Linked DNA regions of Oreochromis niloticus. The protein of the gene in region 1 interacts with the protein of each later gene in a pairwise test. Links are inferred from orthologs where the notes say so. Each region holds a gene or a part of one and is shown on either strand. Other genes may lie near its edges.

What was found.
Region 2: the proteins of lmo2 (region 1) and ift43 interact in binary tests that used the Homo sapiens proteins (3 or more experiments, as listed by UniProt). The two-hybrid records come from large-scale screens. The link is inferred for Oreochromis niloticus from reciprocal best matches to the Homo sapiens genes LMO2 and IFT43.

Annotation. Positions count from the first base shown.
Region 1 is NC_031972.2:49,578,306-49,588,935, forward strand, and holds the start of lmo2 (rhombotin-2), read right to left. Parts: upstream 4,079-10,630; 5' UTR 3,627-4,078; coding exon 3,586-3,626; intron 2,592-3,585; coding exon 2,376-2,591; intron 1,373-2,375; coding exon 1,147-1,372; 3' UTR 1-1,146. UniProt on the Homo sapiens protein: Acts with TAL1/SCL to regulate red blood cell development. Also acts with LDB1 to maintain erythroid precursors in an immature state.
Region 2 is NC_031983.2:10,401,988-10,412,336, reverse strand, and holds the start of ift43 (intraflagellar transport protein 43 homolog), read left to right. Parts: upstream 1-6,098; 5' UTR 6,099-6,208; coding exon 6,209-6,253; intron 6,254-6,651; exon of another isoform or gene 6,652-6,710; intron 6,711-8,754; exon of another isoform or gene 8,755-8,811; coding exon of another isoform or gene 8,812-8,817; intron 8,818-9,257; coding exon 9,258-9,359; intron 9,360-9,456; coding exon 9,457-9,468; intron 9,469-10,349. Other genes in the region: tgfb3 (transforming growth factor beta-3 proprotein), read right to left, coding at 4,261-4,606. UniProt on the Homo sapiens protein: As a component of IFT complex A (IFT-A), a complex required for retrograde ciliary transport and entry into cilia of G protein-coupled receptors (GPCRs), it is involved in ciliogenesis.

The DNA.
Region 1 (10,630 bases):
CAAGGTTAATATACAAAAAGTCTTGAATGGATGTCCAGGGAACAGGTAAAATTACAAAAGATGCATGCAAAACCTCTGCAAAGTCAGTAAAACAAGAATTGCATGGGTTCCTTGACCAGTAGAGGGCGCCACCAGTTCAACCTGGCAATACATAATCATTCTCATCAGAACTTTTTTTTTTTTTTGTTAAATAAGTGGATGTTGTTTTTCATAATATGAAAATCAGGTAATGCTTTAATCACAGGTCTGTAATTTCCTAATAAATTCTCACAAATTTTCATGAAAACTTTCAGAAACGATCACAGCATACATCCACTTCATTCATTCCACCTCATTTCTAGTGAAACAGCCAATGCAGCAGGCCATTTGAGCATTTTAAATCTGTCCACAGGCAAACAATCACTTTAAGAGAGTGTTTTACAAACTGTCAAGTGGACCTCGGTTGTGTGTGGAAAAATATCAACTAAATTTAAGTTGAATGAATTGGTACGCTATAATGATGACTTGAATTTGATTTAAATTCAGCTTCGATGCTTGTTTCGTTAATGTTTCATAAAAATATGAAGAAATATATGTTAGTGGAAGTGATAAGGTGGGTGATCTCTTCTCAGCTTCTTACTGGAGGCATGCAAAATAAAGCCCGACAACCACTGCTTTAACATATTACAGTTACAATGAACAAGCATTCAGTTAATGTATGTTTAGATTTAGAGAGAGACACATTCTTTTAACAAAGTTAAAAAATAATTAGCGCTGGGAAAGTATTAAGAAATTACAAATCCATAAAACCAAGCTGCTGATCTTCTCAGTGTAAAGACTGCAAGAAACTGGACAAATAATTTTTATCTTGTTTTTGTTCTAAAGTTCCAGTGTACAACAAATGACCAATATTGCATTTTTAAACATTGTCAGTATTGGAGCATTTATTTTTTTTGCTTTCAATAAAAAAAGCTCTCTGTTATTGCTGGTGCAGTCTTCATTAGTCCCCATCAGGGAGACATGCAGAGACGTAGCCCCTCGTTTGCTTTTTGTTTTTTTTTTATGATCCCATATTGGTTTCAAATGCATTATAAAGCCTGCATTGGAAATACGAAATGTCTATCAGTAGTCCATTCCCTTTGAATCAAGGGGAAAGAAGACATCCTCCTAAACCATATTATTATTGTTGAGCTTGGTCCACTCAAAGATGTCCTGCTCGCACACAATGTCTGAGTTGATGAGAAGGTAACGATCACCCACGCAGAAGTGCTTCTGGCAGGCAGCGCACTTGAAGCACTCCAGATGGTAAACCTTGTCCCGCACACGCATCGTCATCTCGAATGCTCGGATCCTCTTTTCACAGGAAGCGCAGAGACCGTCCTGGCCAAAAAGCCTGAGTGGATGAGAGGGCATCAACATGTTACTGGGAGGAAGATGGAAAACATTTACTCGCTCTTAATGATGTGAAGCTGTAAGAGAGACTGACAGTATCTCCATTAAGGTACTCTGGATCTTTCCCCTGAGCCTGAGGGATTGAGCTGTTAGAGAGGAAATTAGCCATCACCAGTGCTTCACAGACTTTTTCTATCCTGCTCTTCTTCAGAAGCTGAAAATGTCACACAACCACCCACGATTTTTAGCAATTATTAGCAATAATAAATGGATCAGAGCTGAATTTCTGGGAAATGGTGCAAAAGTATAGAAGGACTGCATTACCTGCTTCTTGTTTGTTTATTTTACACATAAGTTCTACAGATTTGCTTTACTTTCGGTCCATATTTTTCACCAAGTCATCCACACCCCCTCATGCAGTGGCACTACACGCCAGCAGGGGGACCCAGCACACAGTTTGAAAACCACTGAGCAACACAAACTTCATTTTGCAATAAATAAAGCGGAAATGCATTGTCATTAAAGCAACACATATCCTTAAAGTGGTGATGCAGGGCATTCACAAGCCAGGTCCGATCATACAGGTTCGGCCACTGATTGATACTACATATTTGAGAGGAGTACCCCAGTGCATCTGCCTGAGTTTGTATCTCAGGCAGAGATAGGTTAGGTAAATGTGTTTACCTGATATGTGGCTGTGCACCACACAGCTACATATCATATCAAATTTTAACATTAGTTCTTTAACAAAGACCTGCCTTCTTCTCCTGAATCTATTTCAACTTGTCCACACTTTCTTCAGTAAAAAAGTTACAGGTAGAAATAGGTTAGAAATTTCTATACTTGCTCAAAGTGTTTCTCCATGAGCCTTTAAGGTGTGATAAAAGATATACATACTAGTGCATCTCAAAAAGTGCTTCTTTTTCTGTGTGTAATTTAACTAAAAGGGTGACGACCTAATTGATTAATTCATAATATCACTACATTACACCAACTGAACCAACCTGAGGTAATCTCTCCGACACAGTTTTCTTCCCAGCTTGTAGTAGAGCCGGCGGCCCACCTCCCCCAACCGACAGCCACACAGATCACAGCTCAGGCAGTCCTCGTGCCAGTACTGCTCGATGGCCTTCAGGAAGAATCTGTCACCAATGCTCTGCTGACATCCACCGCATGTCAGCAGAGATGGAGGCATCTGGAGGACCTCATCCACCGGTTCCCTGGAAAAAGAAAAAAAAGCAATAAGGATTTAGGGCAGCATCAAATTTTTGTTTCCTTCATCAGTTAATCTGCAAAGGTTTCCCTCAGTTGTGTGATTGGTTAGTTAGTCAGTGTGACATGCAGGTCTCCCAAACAGTTTGCTAACTGATGAATCAAATACTGGAATAGAACTGTTCTAGCTCTGACACATACTTACTGGTGACCTGTTGATATTTTGCTATTATTATGCAATAAACAAACATTTCCTGATCTAAAGGCACAGTTAGTGTTCTGCATCAATATTCACACTGTGTTGTATCTAATAAGTGCTACACAAACACATGTATATCTTTTCTAATGATTTCAGCTTTGATCGGTCTCTGAGCTGGAGCTGTGTGCGCAGATGTGTTTTATTCCCGTCCACCTGAGGGAGCCATTGGATATTAAACCGCTAACTAATAAAAAGTATGTCACACAATATTGGGTTGTTTTTTTTAAATGTCGATTTACGCTAGGAGTGCCTTAGCGCTCCACTTTTTCTTAACTTTTTCCTCGCAAGACCGATTAACCGATTCGCACTACAACCTGGTTTGCCTCTTATCTATAGTTATTTATATTTAATTTAATAACTGTACAGTACTCTCTGTATATAGTAACCATTGTCCTTAATGTAAATATGTAAGAAAAATTGTGTATGTTTCTGTTCTGTGTCCTGTGTACTGTTTGTTTGTATATGTGTCTTTTTGGCTGCTGTTACAACCAAATTTCCCCTTGTGGGACAATTAAAGGATTATTCTATTCTATTCTATTCTATTCTATTAACATTAACACATCACTCTGTTCTTAAACTTTGACATTTTTAATCTAACAGCAGGAGACTTCAGACCTTATGCTACCAGCTTTCTGCAGCTGTCTCACCGGAGAGTTGTGGCTGTCCCGTGAGTGCTGATGCGTCACGGATACTTTTACTTGAATCAGAAATGACATTATTTAACATCATTCATTGCTACTTACTCGCTGGCCTCCAGCGTCTTCCTCTCTATCGTGGATGTCATTCTTCAAAGATGATGTCCAGCCTGGTCCACTGGCCAGCAAGCTCAGTGGGGACCCGCGAGGCGAAGCTGCGTGCGGGCGCTGCACCTGCTCCACCTCTGGGGCACCACCAGCACCACCAGCAGCCCGCGTCAGGCTTTCAAACGTGTTCAATCGAAGGCAGCTGAGTCCAGACGAAATGGCCGCAAGACGAGAAGTGTTCGCTTTAAGCGGCTAAGCCGTGATGGAGGACACTGTCATCATTTCCTGAGGCAGTGACCCGCGGAGAGACTTCGCGTCTTTTTTTCCAAGTGTGTCTCCTCACCCCGCAGGGACTTTGCTGCCTGTCCGCTCTTTATTAAAATGCACACGCCGTGTGATGCGATCAGAAGGTCACTTACGTGGCTCTCCGTGTTCGTGCCTTTTCATAGGCGTGCGAACCCACATGAAGCCGCGGGCACCGTTATTGTGCAGTAGCAGCAGCATCGTGTTTTAAATACACCCCCCCCACCCCTCCCCGCGCGCCCTTCCCCTCCTCACACCCCCTCTCTCTCGCTAGTCAGGCTGTGCTTTCGTTTCCCTCTTCCTGCTCACGACTGTTTGACAATGGGGGGAAATCGGTCTTAAAGCGACAGCTTAACACGGCCTTGCTCTGTCAGGCGTGGAGTGGGTCGTGACTGAGGCTAATGATTATTATGCTTTGCTTCGCCAGAGTGCAGATAAGACGAAAGATAAAGAGTGGCACGGTCTAATTCTTTGGGGAGGAGTATTTGTGTTTTCTCTCATAATTATGCCCCAGGTGTTGCCGGTTCTAAAAGGTTCTGACGGTCACTTTCTGTAAGGGTTCAGACGATGATGGTTATCACTGCGTTAAGTAATGTGAACTTGAATTCAGTGGATTTATTATATTATACTTAGAAAAAAATTCCAAGGACTTCATTTTACTTCCTAAAATGTGATTTTATATTTTAGAGGTCCTACATAAACACACAGCTGAAAACACAATTGCCAGGGCCTTTTCAGACAACCAGGGAAGTCCCTTACTTTTTATTTTTATTTTTGTTGCGTAACTTCTCTGTAATGTAATCTTAGATCACTGATTATGCACAAGAGTATTTTCAGACAGTTTGAGCAATAACTTTGCATCACATATCTTCTAAACTAATAATTTTTAGGTTAATTGGCGTGGCTGTAGTTTAGGAGGTACAGCAGGTCACCTACTAATTGGTCCGATCCCTGGCTGCTCCGGTCTGCATGCCAGATTATCCTTGGGCAAGATCCTGAACCCGAAGTTGCTCTCGAAAAGTGAGGAAAAGCACTTAAGTGTAGAAAAAAAAGTGCTTGTATGAAGCACTATATAAGTAGCAGTCCATCCACCAGTTAACTCACTAGTAATTACTTTAATGTTAATATTTCCATCTGACGTTTTAACAATTATGTCAACAGTAAAATTCTGATATGTGTACTTGCTGATTCTTTACACAAAGCTCAGAGAAATTGTGAAGCTGGAGGAAGATATGATTAAGCTGTGCTTAGAAATAATCCAAAAAAAAAGAGCTTGTGAAAGCTGCCTCTGTGGGGAATTAATGCATTGATATTTCTACATAGTTGGTGTCCTCATGGCTTTTCCTTTTCAAACCAGAGCTGCTGTGGGCCCTTCTCTTATCTACTGCCAGTGCCTCAGGGCCGCCTGTAGGAGGGAGGGACACCGACAGCAGTCTGACTGGACAGGGAAGATAAAGCACCTAAACTCCAGCACCCAGAATCAGTTCTGCAGCCAAATGTAACAGAAAAAGATCACAGGCGAACTCTAAGATGAAGGCTGAAAGCATCCTTGGGCCACACAGTTGGAGAGCTGAGTAGACTCACTGGATTGATACCAAGCTGAGAAAGCCCAGGAGCAAGGTGAGCATGGCTGTTGTGTGCCAGCTACGCAGAAAGCAGAGCAGCTTGACAGAGATAAAACTCAAACTACAAATCCTTCAGATGAGAAACACGTTCAGATTTTGTACAACACAATAACACAATGAAGGGACCATTTTGACTATAGTGACTTTAATCTTCACTAAATAAAAATGTCATGCAGTTAATCCCTCTTGCTTATATACAGTGCGGGAAATCATTATTTTATCCCCTGTAGATTTTGTAAGTTTGCTCACTTACAAAGAAATGAACAGTCTCTAATGTTTGTGGCAGTTTCATTTTGATAGAGAGACAGAATATAGAACAAAAATCCAGGTTGGTTCCCACAGATTGACTGCTTGCCATGTGGCACATAAACTACAATCAGTCAATCAATTACAGATAATCCTGATCTCAACTTATTATGTATACAAAGCACAACTATCCACTGAATCATTTTTTTTTCCATTCCAAGACCAAAAATCTGGCAAAGGATGTCAGGGACAAAAATTTAGTCCTGCATTAGGCTGAAATGAGCCACATGACCATCAGCAAGAAGCTTGGTGAGTAGATAACAACTGTTGATGTGACTATTCAGAAATGGAAGAAATATAAAATGAGCATCGATCTGGAGCTCCATGCAAGATCTTGCCTCAAGGGGTGAGGATGATCATGATAAAGGTTGTGGATCAGCCAAAAACTACACGCGAGGAGATTGTTAATGATCGGAAGCAAGTCGGGACCACAGTCAGAACACCATTGTCAACACACTACACTATAATGGATTGAAATCTTTCACCCGCAAGAGAAGTCTTGGGAGAAAGAGCTGTGGTCAAATGAAACAAAATCAAGCTCTTTGGCATCAAGTCAACCAGCCATGTTTGTAGGAAGAGAAGTGAGTATGACCCAAAGAACACCATCGTCACAGTCAGGCATGGAGGTGGAAACATTATGCATTGGGTTTATTTTTCTGCTAAGGGTACAAGGCAACTTCACTGCATTGAGGAGCAAATGTATAGGAGCATGTACTATAAAATCCTGGACAACAACCTCCTTTCCTCAGCCGGAACACAGAAGATATGCTGTGGATGTGTCTTCCAGCATGACAATGACCCAAAGAGATCACCAAGGTAATGAAGGAGTGGCTAAAGAAGAAGCATGTTAACATCTTTGAGTGGTCTAGCTAGTCTTTAGGCCTCAATCCTATAGAAATTCTGTGGAAAGACCTGAAGTTTAAAGTTTCTAAGCAGCAGCAACGAAACCTAAAGTATTTAGATAGTTTATGTAAAGACTAGTGGGCCAAAATCCCTCCTCAGATGTGTGCAAACCTGACCAACTACAAGAAATATCTTAGTGCTGTTTGCAACAACAATTTCTCCACCAAGTATTAAGTCAAGTTTTTCTTTCTTTCTGGATGTTTGGTCGACATTCTGTCTCTCTCCATTAAAATAAAGCTACCATAAAAAATAAAGACTGATCATTTCTTTGGAAGTGAGCAAACTTACAAATTCAGCAGGGGATCAAGTAAGTATTTCACCCATATGAACAATGCAATTTTCCCTTGGTATTGTAATCAAATGATTTGCACTATTCTTGAGCTTTCAATGATGTCAAATAATCAAATAATGAATTAAATAGCTAAAGTTTTATTGACTGAGTGCCAATTTACGGTGCCACATATCAACAGTTTCATTTAGCACTGACTGTGCTAAATGGTGGTGGTTTGTAATAGTCTTTTTTAGTTTTTGGTATTTTAACTTTCTCCTCTCTGAAACAATCAAACAAAGGAAATATTGAGGCTCACAATCAATGCTACCCATGAATACATGTGTAGTGATAATATTTGAATCCTTCCAGATTGCCACGTTGCATGAACACAAAGCACATGAACAAATTCATGACAGATGAGAAACACAAGAGAGAATACAAAATCAGCACTGACATGACACAAGTCATCCACTACTTCCTGTGGAGTTGACTGAGAGAGCCCAGAGGATGTTCAAACTGGCATGCAGAGATGAAGCTTTCCTGAAGGGTTGGTGCACATTGCATTCACTTCCTACCCCCCTACATGCACGATGGCACCCTTCTCATGGTTTCCCAGATAGACTGCTAGACTCCAGATGGCTCGGGGTGATAGGAGAAAGTATTCTCATAGACAACTCGAGGCTGTTGTGACTGGGTGGTAAAACCCATATCTCTGTTCTAACGCTTCTTAAATGCCACCAGAAAGGAGCTGCACTTTACTGTAGATCTGACATCCATGTGTCACCCTACTTCTGTAATAAAACTGAAAGGCGGGGGATTTTCACACTTCATGCTTTGAACTTTATAGCATTTAAAATAAGGGCAATAGTGACCTTTTATGTGAAATGTGGTTTGCTATTTTCAGCTTTTATTCCTCTCTGGGGTACAAGTTGGGGAGCAAACAGTTAAGAGTGTAGACAACCTTTAGGGAAGTGCATGTCCAACTTCCTGTTTTGCCTGTTTTGTACTGAGAGCATTATGGAGTTGAAAGCAGTGTGGAATGTCGGGGGGAAAAAAAACATTGCTGCTAAGCAAACAGTAAAATCATACAGAAGCTAATCATTTCAGCAAAGAATGGGAATTTATTTCCCAAGAAATAAAATATTGAAAGTTCTTGCAGGCAAATTTCCCAAAGTAAAAGACTATGGACATGGTGTTGACTCTACGATTGTGCAAACTCTGGAACAGCATCAGTAAAAACAACTACTTCCTGTCCAATCTAAAGTGAAATGATAGCTAGCTCCGGTTTAGCACACCCCTCCTAAACAGCAAAAGGTCTAGAAATGTTTTATTGTTTACCGGCACCACAAAGGTCCAAACTGAGTTGTGCTTTTAACCTAAAAAGCTTTGTTGTAAAGGTCAGAGGTCAGATGAGGACCCACCCTAGAATTCTACTAGAAAACGGCTGGTCAGTCGTTGTTCGATTGAAATATAGCAGGCTGCGGAAATGAGTCACTGAAAGGGAGCTTCATTTACTCTTGGGATCCTCCCATAATCACTATTATCCTAAAAGAAAACACTTTTAGTGGAACATTGCAATCAAAAAGCTGTGCAGACATGTTAACTGCTTCCTGTATTTGGCAAAACAACAGAAAGCTGGCTACACATTCTTTTCAATAGTCTCCTGGTAAGTTTGACTGTCAAGCTGGTAAGTAACTTACATGGAAACTGTGTTTTAATGTAAAAATAAAATCCCAATTGTTTTTTTTAAATTCTGCTAATCAAGTCAATTTGTTTGTTAGCGTGAGTCCTTTATCCTCATTTATAAATAAAAACTACATTTTTAAAGATTTGAAGTCTGAGTAATTACATTTATTAAAAACTGGTCAACATATTTCCATGTAAGGGAAGAGTGAAATTTTCACTTCAGTCCCGCATCAATATTTGTTGATCATATACTGACCTTTACTGCCACCTGGTGATAAGTAACTAAAATTATCTTTGATTGAACATGTCAGCACTATAAGATCGTTGCTGCCGTTGTTAGAATCTATTTGTTTAGGTGCTTGTAGAACTAGACACTATTATTCTAAAATGGATAAAAGTAAAATAGAGATATTAACTTAAATTCTGTTTTTTCATATAAAAAATGCATTGCAGGTTTTAGACCTTGGAATCATGACAAAAGAGGTGCAGGATATTCCATCTGTCCATTTTCATCCACTTATCCAATCTAGGGTCACAGAGGACAGAAGCCTATCCCAGCTTTGGCAGGGTACACCCTGGACAGGTCACCATTCCATCACAATGAGGCTGTAAATGTTCTCAAATAATTCCTCAGGATTGTTTTTTAAGATGATTTCTAATTTTAAGTTCTTGAAAATATAACACAAACATATCATTCCTGTTGTTATAGCCATCATAGCTCTCTAGCTAGCTGCCAGCTTTTAAGTTTAAGTCTCCAAAGCATGCTGCTGGGCAACACTTTTATTTGGACATTGGCTAGTTTTTCACTTATGTTCAGTCCAGTCCTTATACCGCACCATTTTCAGAGGATTTTTTTTATGTTTTGTTTTGGGCTTTTTTTGTTAGTTTTTTGTTAAGCCATTTGTTAATGAACCATGAATCATTCAAGCATAAAAAGGCACCTAACTCAAGGGATGAACCATTGTTGTGTATACATATAACAAACACCTAGCACATTATTTTTTTCCCCATTTGTTTGGTTAAATCTATAAAAAAATACCAAAAGTAACACACAGGTGTAAGGTAGTATATTTGCACTAACCCAAAGAGACCTGGTATATCTTGGTATGGTGTGCCCTTAAAAAAAAATCTGACGAAAACTGAACAAGTGGAGGATAAATAAGTGGCAGGCCAAAAGAATTGTTCACAGCATATGAAAACTATTGAAAACTTATGTGCTTGGAAATGAAAGGGTAGCTGTCAAGAAGCTATTCCCAAGGAAGGGGAACAAGAAGAAAAGGTATGCCAAATTACACAAGAATTGGACTGAAAATCAGTGGTAACAGGTCGTATGGAGTCATGAATCAAAATTTTAAATTTCTGGTTCAAATCGTTATCGGTTTGTACAAATGAAGTCAGGATAGAGGTACAACAGTGAGTGTCTACAGTCATCTGTAGAACACAGGGTAGATGACATGGCTCTTCAGCCAGTGAAGTTGAAGATACTGTCAAAATTGATGAAATTTGCAAAGCAGAAAAGTGCAGACAAATTTTAAGACACCATGCAATACCATCTGGTAAGTGTCTGATTGACAGTGGCTTCAGTTTTAAGCATGGCAATAATTCCATACACATGCCAATACAGTAAAAGCATACCTGGACAGAAAAAACACACAAGTAAAGAGTATCAGTTATGGATTGGCCTCCAAGGGACCAGTCAGTATAAAGTCACCCAGTCAGTTTAAAGTCAATATATACAAATGTTGATTTTCAGGGTTGTTGAAGCTTTCCTAGGGATGGTCCAAGACTTTTGTATACTACTGACCTTAAAACATGCAATTAAGGAAAGTAGTATGTTACTTTTTTAATTTGCATATTTTGTCCTTTTTTGTTTGTTTGTTTTTTGGCAAAATTAATTATATGCAAAGCTTGAGTATAGAGAGAAAGTATAAACACACACACACACACACAC
Region 2 (10,349 bases), on another chromosome or scaffold:
AGCAGGCTACAGTGGGACAGCAGCGTGCTCCTCCTCCCACCAGCACTTGAGCCCAACAGGTGCTCCGAGGGCTCAGCCAGAAGCCAAGTATTCCCTGGAACTCAGAGGTTTAGCTGGGAACATGCAGGCTCACGTGCTGGAGGAGAACAGCACCTGAGCAGCCACCGAGGAGAGAGAGACTCCACCACACCAGGGAGAAGCAATAACTCACTGCACACCGTAACATGGTGCATGTGTGTGTTTGCGACTGAACGCTGACCTTTAGCACAATCGGCCCAATGAATGGCCACACCGCGATCCCATCTGAAAAAGCTTCCTGCTGCATTGAAGACTTTCTCCTTTTTATACCATAATACCATAGAGCAGTTTATTATTCTAACAGGCCCAGCACATGCAGTGTTGAGCAAAACAAGCGCATAGCAAACTTTTTATGAGCCAAGTGGAAACAGTCACTTACAGCCAAGCCATGGCTAATTTATTACTTCAAGCTTAAGCTTTATTACCAAAGCCTCGGATTTGCTGATGGCTGAAAGGGGCACTGCACCTTTAGCTGATTTGCACCTCGAGCAGATTTGGGACAAATGGAAACTCAGAAGTGAGGCCGTTTTCTGTGTCATGCAAAAGGAACTTGCACATCTCCGAGTATCTGTACTTCATTTGACCCATAATCCTATTTCAGTGTCCTCCCAGTCATTATCTGATATTTCCACAAAGTTTTTTTTCTTTGATTTATTCAGCTTTTTATGTTATTTCAGTTGTCCCCAGATATCTGTCATTAACCTCAGTCCTTTCCTCCCTCACTCACTCACTGCTCCGTCTCCCACAGAAGGTGGAAAGCCCCACTTCGGGGAGATTGAAATTCTAATCAAGTCTTTGGTTTCCTTTTGGATGACTCATTTTTCCCATGCAATGTTTTAGTGGATTTCACATTATGGCTTATTTTTGCCAAGGGTCTGAAAGGTAATTTTATCTGATATTTCCACAAAGTTTTTTTTTTCTTTTTGATTTTATTTCAGCTTTCCCTATTTATAGTTTGACCTTTCAGCATTTGTCCCCAGCCAGATATCTGTCCAGCGTTTCCACACAATCTATAAGGAGGAAACCTCAGTAGCCCTTTTCCTCCCCTCACTCACTCACTGCTCCGTCTCCCCCACAGAAGGTGGAAAGCCCCACTTCGAGGGGAGATTTGAAATTCTAATCAAGTCTTTGGTTTCCTTTTGGATGACCTCATTTTTCCCATTGCAATGGTTTTAGGTGGATTTCACATTATGGCTTATTTTTGCCAAGGGTCTGAAAGGTAATTTGTTCCATGTTGGTGAGTGGAAGGGGATTGCTTGTATAATTAAAATGAGATACAGTCACAAATTGATTTGACCACCACTCTCGACTCCCCCGTCCATTTTTAGATGATAGGGTTTAAGACTGAGTATCAGGATGCTGACACAAGCTTAATGTATTAACTGTTTGACACGGCACAGGTTATGTCAATAAGCTTCTCCAGAGTTTAATTTCTACTAGTAAAAAAATCAAGGTGTATAGTTTTCCATGCCAAACAAAGCAATACTCTATATTTTAAACACTGTATAAGTAATTAAAACGACTTCTGATGTTATTTCTAAAGATTTTGTAAAATAGCACACTGCTCTAAGGTCAGAGCATGCTTATTTTGAGTTTTATTGGGAGAGGCTGTCATTAACACGTCTGCAAAAGTGTATTTATAGTCACACTTAAAAAAAACCTGGATAACAAAATGATGCCCGCCTGACTCCATTCTCGCATTATCACCCAATTAATTTGAACATATGGGTTTCAAAGGAGGGATTAGGGATTAAAGTTGTCCAAAATGCCCGAAGACAGACATTTGAATAGTTGCTGCTGCCTCGCCCAGACGCTATCGACCACACCTCAGCTCCTGACACGCGTTCAGCCTCCGGTGTCTGGAATCCTCTCCATGACACGGAAGCTCCCGGAATGAAGCTCTAAGGAATCACCTCTCTTTGCTCTTTTGCCCAGAGGATACTTGTGATGTCAGTCTCTCCACAGCTTTGTGGACGTAAACAAAGGAAACAGAAAGCACAAGTCAGCAGGTGCTAGCCAGCTGCTGCGGTGTCTAAATCTCATAAAGCAGAACAGAAATTGCATTAGCTGGAGTTCTCTTATTATTTTCCTGAAATTGCCGCATCTGGGATGTGAATTTGCATCATGCTCTAATGGAAAAGTTTGATTTCCCCTCCCCAGTTAGCTGAGGGTTTAGTGTACCAAATTCAAACGTTGCTTTTCATCAGAAACAAGTCCATATCTACATCGGACTGCAGATATCAGCTATGGCAGTGTGGAGGAAACAATGCAATGAATGACGACACCCCCTCCCCTTCCCCCCCACTCTCCTCCTACTGGATTGAAGATGAGGAAGCAAAAATGGTAAAGGCGTGGGAGTTCGATGGAGCGATGCTGTTTCTTTGGAAGCAGACCAAAGACCTCTGTCTCTGTTTGTACAGATGACATCATCTTTCTACTATCCCATATATCAGACACTGCTGTCCTCAGAGCTGGTCCTCATTTTTTTTCTACTGACCTAACACTGAGTCAATGATTGGCTTGAAATTTCACTGAGGCTGCACGCTCCAATGAGCTAGTCAAGGCCAGTCAGTAGACTCTTAAACTGTTATTGTGTTACAGGTCGCCCCTCAGTTCAAATATGTCTTTATCTAATTTCCTCAGCGGCACTATTCACACTGGCCTTGTGATGCACCAGGAAAAAGAAAAGGAAAGGAAGCTCCAAATTCCTGTTCTCACTCAGTTTTGTTTCATCTGCTCATAAATGGGTCAAAGCTTTGAATTGCATCGCATTGCATTCGCAGTAGTGTCTAGCAAAGCAGTCTGGGTGCATGCGTCGCATTAAAGAGTGTGTGAGAGGTTTCTGTTTAACTTCCTAACTAAGCACGGAAAAAAGCCAAACTTGACTTTTTTCCCCAAACACTCCCACCTTCCAAAAAGCGGCGAATGCAAAACTCATTAGATTCAGCAGGAATGAAAATGAACTACACAGCAGAAATACCAAGGTGACAGACATTATGTTTCTGCGTACTGCAACATGCCCAGCTCTCCTTAAAATTACATAATGGAAAGGAAGAGAAGACTGCTAATTAATGCATGTGGCACCTTCTGTTAATTTAAACAATCTGTGAGTAAGTAAGCTGTTTGGGAAGAAAGTGCTGCCAGTGTGTTCATGTCTCGTATTATCACCTACATTATGGCCCACGGCGTGAGACCAGTGATGTGTCCTGGGCACCTGGCCATCACTGATCCCACTCCTTAGACCTCTGTTTGTTTTGGGAGCTCTGACTACCTCTGACCAGTGGATAAACCCCGAGCTGTGTATTTTGAATGTCAGAAGCACTTTGTGGGACCTGTGAAATGGATTTGATTCAGGGCTTATGCTGGAACCAGCAGAGGTTCTGCTCAGCGTCACAGCATTGCACAAACACCTGTTGATTTCAGAATCACTACACCGTGCGCTAACCGGCCTCTGACCGTGAGTGGGCACCAATCCAACTGCTCCACTTAGGCTTTCTCTGGAGAATCTGCAGCTCAGCGGGCTTCTGCTTCTGATTTCTGGAACAATCAATGGGCCATAGTTTATACAGGAAATACCAATATGGATGAACGAGGGAATTAGATCATAACGCGGAGCTACTTGAAGGAAATAGCGGGGAGCGGGGGGGGGGGGATAGAAGTGAGTGACAGTGGAAGAAAAAATATTGGGGATCTCACGGCCAGAAAAATGGAAATGAGGTATTGGAGTTGGCAATAAATAGCAGATTTAACAGCCTGAGAATTTTCCTCGCTTAGGAATGTGTCAGACTAAGGCTGGGGTTCCCATGGATTTGGTGTGAGGTATGCATGAGGAATTGTGCTCATTCCAATTAGACTGTTTACTTTGCCCTTTCCTCTGCGCGACGCCACGGAGCGTCTGCGCGTAAAAAGCCGCACAGAGAAGAATGGACTTTCACACCAACCGGAAAAAAATATTTGTCTTTCACTTTTCCCCCCCTTGTAACCTCGCGTAATGATTAGGTTTGACATCGTGGCAAAGATAAAAAGCGTTTGCGTTTGGGATTGAGTGTGGTCATCAACTCTTCTTTAAAGTTCAAAATAAACCACAATTACTCACCTGCACCTAGAACAGGAAGAGTTTCTACTTTATTGGCTTATAAAAGAAAAATGGGAACATTCATAACCCAAAAACAGTACACTCACTGTTTTCTTGTGGCCCATTGATCATGTTGAACTTGTAAATCTCTTTGGCGTAGTACTCTGTCTCCGTGTTATCCTGTCCGCAACTCTGCTGCCGGTCTTTCCCCAGCTCCTCAATGAGCTCCTTGGTGCTGTTATAAAGTGCCAGAACCTGAAACGGTACTTGACTTGGACCTGTTGTTTGAGGCGGACTGGTCAGTCGGAGTTTACTGAGAATCTGTCCCCGGACGGCCTCCACTCTCTTTTTCTTTATGTGTTTGATGTCCACTGTGGTGCAAGTGGATAGCAAGAAAGTCACTGTCACACAGTTTGAGAGGAGGAAAAACAGAAGTGCTTTGCCCAGATTCATATTTCAATCTGCGTTCGCTCACAGCCGAAGCCTTGTCAAGTAATATTAGAAGAAGGAGAAGAAAAAAAATATCCCTTTTTATCTTTTCATTCAGGTCGCGAGTGAGTACTGTTCCTGGAGGAATCCCATTTTCTCGAGTGCTATGTCATCTTTGCCAAATGCGTATTTGCATGGGAGCGAATCCGCGCAATTGTGCAAAAAGGTCTCGACTCTTCAACAAAACTCTTAATTACACTCTTCATTCCCTCTTGTCTCATTCAGGCATCTCTCCCCCTCTCTTTTTCTTTGTAGTTTACAGGGGCCCGATCTCTGCACCGCCGTTTAGTTGCTCCATTGCATTTGGTCTTTCCATCCACTTGTGCAAATATGTATAAGGAGTCAGTGCGTCTTTGTTGTCTTCTTGCAGTCCAACCTCAAACACACTAAAGACGCTTTCCACGCTCACTCATACTTTATACCCACCATCGGTGACGTTTCTGAGGGAGGGGCCGCGAGCTATAGACCGAGCGCGGACAATGTGCTCGGTCCCACTCCGTAGTAAGATAAATAAGACTTTGAATTTCATGCTGCCAAACAGTGTTTGAATCATACGCAGCGTAATATTGGGCAATAAGATTTCGCAAGAGAGAAGGGTTGCAATAGTTTGTCAAGTAAATAGCTGCATTTTATGGATGTGGCTGAAATTAAGTCACGTTCTGTTGTGTGCCCCACGCGCGCTCCTAGCAGTTTAAAAATCTAAACCTGGAGAGGTTTACGTGCTGAATATTTTTTAATCGTGGGCAAAATAAAGTGCTAATGAAGTAAAGTTCAAAGTTAACATGCAGAACTTCTGAGGGTGCGCAAGCCAGCAGCACGCGGTCCTCTGCAGGCTGCTACCGTTCAGCGCCTCCCCAGTATCATAATGAAAGGAGACAGCGACATCTCGCGGACCACGCAGGGAATTGAAGGTACAATTTGATTTCATCTTTATTTTTTGCCTGCTTTCTCAAATTAGATATTTTGCGCTGAGAACAAGAGTATCACTTTATCCATTTAGAAAACAACAACAACAAAACAAAGAAACAAACAACATAAATATAAAATAAAAAGCGACAACAATACCTCCTGTTTTTCTTCAGTAATGTAATTTTTACTCTTAAAAAATGAATTCATATTATGAGTTTAAAAAAAATATATATGTATATTTTTGCCTGTTTGTTTGTATTTCTGGACGTAATTATCCAAGGATTTTTTTTTTTTTTTTTGGACACACCATAATTATCTGTTGATTCACCATTAAATCAGAAAGAAAAATGGGGCAGATGTTCGGAGTAGGCGTCTTATTTATTCAACAGTAATGTCTGGGGAGCTCCAGTAGAACAAGGAAACATTGATATCATTACCTAATATTCGTACTCACATACAAACGAGCAGCATGGGCGCTATAGCAGATTCCCTATCAATATCAATACACGCATCTATTTATTTGTTTGTTTACTTACTAACGATATTTGGGGCGGTCCAAAGGCACTTTCCTCCTGACTTGCGTTACCATGGAGAGCGTTGCTGTGTGACGCCTGGTGGTATCCAGGAAGAAGGTGAACTAGCTGGTAGGAGAAAAAAATGGACGATAATTTCCAACAAGGCAATGGTGGAATGGCAAGAAATGTAAGTAGGTTGTTATATCATTAAAATGCACATGGCAAGGTAATGGGAGGAAAGTAGCATTAATTCTGAGCTATTCTGGATGAGTTGAGGGCACTGTATAACGGTGCAGCGATGCTAGTTAGCTAATTAGCTTTCTGTTTCGCTAATGCGAGCTTCAGTAATAGCCAGTCAGTAAATGATATGCCAGTTTAACCTATCAGTTACCTGCTCATTATCATCGTCATTCGCTGTTTTTGAGCACTGGCAGCGGGAAGGTTTATCTGCATATTCAGCTAACTTTAACTTCTGGGTTAGCCACAGATGATGCTAGCTGTAATTTCCCCCACAAGCATAGCTGAGTGTTTTGGTAGCTTCGTGTAAACTCTGACCTGGTTCTGTGTCTGGCATTACTCCCTCAGAAAACGTACAGGAAACATGCATACTGTGGTCCCACTGCTACCAACTTTCTCCATAAAAGGCAAGAATGCCTGCTGTCCTGATAATGTTTCGGGGATACAGTCATCTCTTTTTGTTGGTGCTTGTGGTTCACACACGTTCACATTTCTATAGACTACACAGAAAACATGACTTCAAATCTGAAATAAGACCAACCACTTTTAGTTGGCAAAAAGACAATGTCTCATTCGATTTATACTAGGTGTCTTTGAACTAATGTAGATATTGATAAGTTTTTGTTGATAGTAAATCCAATTTTTTATTAATCATATAGGTGGTATTCTTTGTGAATCTACTTTTTTTTATTCCTCCAACATGTAAGCTTCATGGGTCACTCCATGGAAAATGGGTGCCTCCCTCCTGAACCCCTCAGAATCAGATGTTTTGTTTTTGTTTTAATAACTTTATTTATTGAAGCCATGCAAAATTCTGCTTATATGCTGTAAATGTTTTCCAAGTTACAGGTCCTTGAAGTACAAAGGTGTGGGTTGAGATTTGACGTTTTTTTATTTCCTAATTTTTTTCTAGCAGTTTGAGCCATCATACTCTGTTACATATCTGAAGCTAGCCACTTACGATTTTCATGGCTGAAAAACAATTTTAAAAACTGTAGCCACATCACTTGTACCCATTCCAAGTTTCACAATCTAAAACCAAAATCTTGTTTTTGTTCTGCAGCTATGCAAACCACACCCGTTCATAGTTGTCTTTCACTCAGTATTGTCATGGTTTTAATTTCTTGAACAGATTAAACAGGGGTGTTAAGAAATGATTATATTGAAACCGAAGAATTATGGCTAGAAGATGAGCCTGGTATCAGAATGTAGGTAAAAAAAAAAAAAAAAATCTATCTTTGTTTCTGTTACTTTACATCATAGACATTACATTGATGGAGTTTTGCTATTTAAACAGTGATCTGTGGAAAGATATTGATGCTCAAAGTTGTAGAAATCATGTCATGCTGAACCAAAATAACATTTTGGTTTCCAATTGTAACATTTGGAGTGGGCGCTGTTTTTAAAAGAGCTTAAAGGTACAGTGTTTTAAAATCTCACCACTAGATATTAGTAGATTGCAAATTGGTACATAATCCACTATCAAGAGGGAAGGTGTGATTTTTTTAAGGACACTTGAGCCTAACATTAGCTGACATAATGTTAGCTTATATCCAGCTGTTGTTGTTGTTTAGCTGGCTTGTTGTCAGCTGTCTGGAGCAATGACTGTAGAAAACAGTTTTCTACAGTCATCGGTCTGAAGATGGGAGGGTCACATGTCTAATCTTCTGATAGTAAGTAATTGCGACAATATTAGGAATAAATTGGCATGTTTTCATGTGTTAGAGGATCAGGCTTGAGGTGAGGAGGAAGAAGGGGAAATAAGGTAGAAGAGATGGCACTGATGACGGGAAAAGACATAATGACAAAGATATAAAAAATATACATGTGAAAATGTTAAATGGCCACATATAATTTGAACGATCTATTTTTGATCTTTAAATTAAAAGTGTCTTATATGGTGTTTTCATTTTGGCCACTCTCCTGCAACATACATAAAAAGCAATTAGGCGGAAGTGCGATGTCCATCTTGGCCACTGTATTCAAGATGGTGGGGCAACGTGGCAACTTCCACAAACCTAATTATTTTAGTTTATGAAAACACACCAATTTGTTGGAAGGCACGGATACACACTATTCAGTGTATATTTATATGTACTACATTGTCTTTTTTCTGTAATCTCAAAAAATTACTTACTGTATTTTTTTTTTTTTTTATTCCTGAAAATTTCTTGTGCATCTCTTGTACTTAAGAAGTCATGAGGGCTGAATAAACCAAATCTAAAAGCACCAAATTTTGACCTTCTCCTGCTTTCTTGCTCCTAGGGCCTGTAAAATGTTCATAGTGGTGTAGTACTTCTAGCTGCTCGGTTATTCCCAGTGGGTACTACAGCGAATGGATCCACATATGGGATATGGCACAGAGTTTACAAAAAACGGTCCTTTCTGACACAACCCTCCTATTTATCCTTATCTTATGACTGTCTGAGGCTGGGTTGTGTCTTTTCCCAGGATGTTAGGGGAATGTTGAAAACACTACACCACTGACCCACCGGACGTTTTCATAGTATGGAGGTAAAAGTTTTCATGGCTTCGTAAAATATTCTGAAGTTATTGTGAAAAAAACAAGCAAACAGCTATTTCAGATTTTTGACATCATTTCAAATCTTTAAAATCTCTACATGTGTGCATGAGTGGAAAACAAATGACTCAGGTGTACAAAAGCTCCACTTCCATGAGTTTGATGTCATTGTTTAGCAATGTGCAGCTGTTGGAAAAAAGAAAACATGCCAGGAATTGATAAGGTTGGATGCAGAAGTTTCCAGAGAATTAGACCGTTTGGAACCTCCTTTTAACTGGAACCTGTTCTTGATTCCCATCCCATTTTCAGAAAACATTTAATGTGACAGTTAAAGGAAATTAAAACCACAAATTATTTTGTAAACCACAAATAACTGTGCCAATGTCTGTCACATACAGTGGTTTTACATGTTGAAATTACACACATTTCCCAGGTTGCCAAGTCTGGACGAAGAGCTCGCCCTGCGGCACACCAGTCATCGTTTGAAGAGACTCGTCACATAAGGAAGTCCTCCACCTCTGCTTCAGCAGGAGAGGTATGCAATCATGTGATAATAAACCTCTGCATGTTATAACATTCATTTACAAGGTCATAAATATGCATTTTGGTCTTGTCTCATACATGAATTACAGGATGATGATGAGGTAGGTAGCATGAACTAAGCGATGACTTTGCATGGCTTCTAGTCCTAATGCTCAGCTTATCAACTTTATACCATTTCCGGTTATCTTACATTTCTTTTATCATGAAGTTGTTTACTTCAGTTCATCTGATTAGATTTGATAGGACTTAAATTACAGCTCACCTCGAAGAGCCAGCTTGACACACATGGTATAAAGTTTGATTGGAGTGCATAATGCAGGTGATGAGATGTTTGAGTTGCTGTTTTTCTACTTTAGCAGGTTTTAAAGTGCTCCAGAAAACTCAGAATAGCTGCTCTTTATTTGTTGGCCTGTATATGTTGGATCTTATGTGTTGCATTAAGGGTTTGAAGTGTTACTTCATATAAACTCTAAATCCATTTAACCTTGTGAGTCACAAAACATTGTAGTCGTCTTCAGTTGGCTTATTTAGTATCTACCAGCAACTGATAAATCCTCTCTTTCTACAAGTGCCTTTTTTACATGAATCACTTCAAGTCATGGCACAGTTTTCATTGTAAAGTTTGCTTCTTGTTGCCCTTGAATCATGTTGCATGTAATCATAAGAAGACAGATCATAAGTGACAGTTGAAATACAACAAATCACTTCACTGTCGTTGGCATTTATAGGATCGGTCACATCTCCTGGATTGGCAAACTGTAAACCAGCCAGCATTCCCAGAGCAAATATTCCAGCAATGCTCTTGCTTTAGGCTAATCTTCCCAAATTAGGCCAACTTTCCTAATGTATGAACTGGTATTCTCGCGCCCTCTCTGACCTGCTGTGCACATGCAGTACATTTTTCCAGAGTGCCGTGCGACTGGGTGGCGTTTTTGCAGTCTTCGTTTATCAAACCCGTTCTCTTCTGCCTTAAATACCCAAC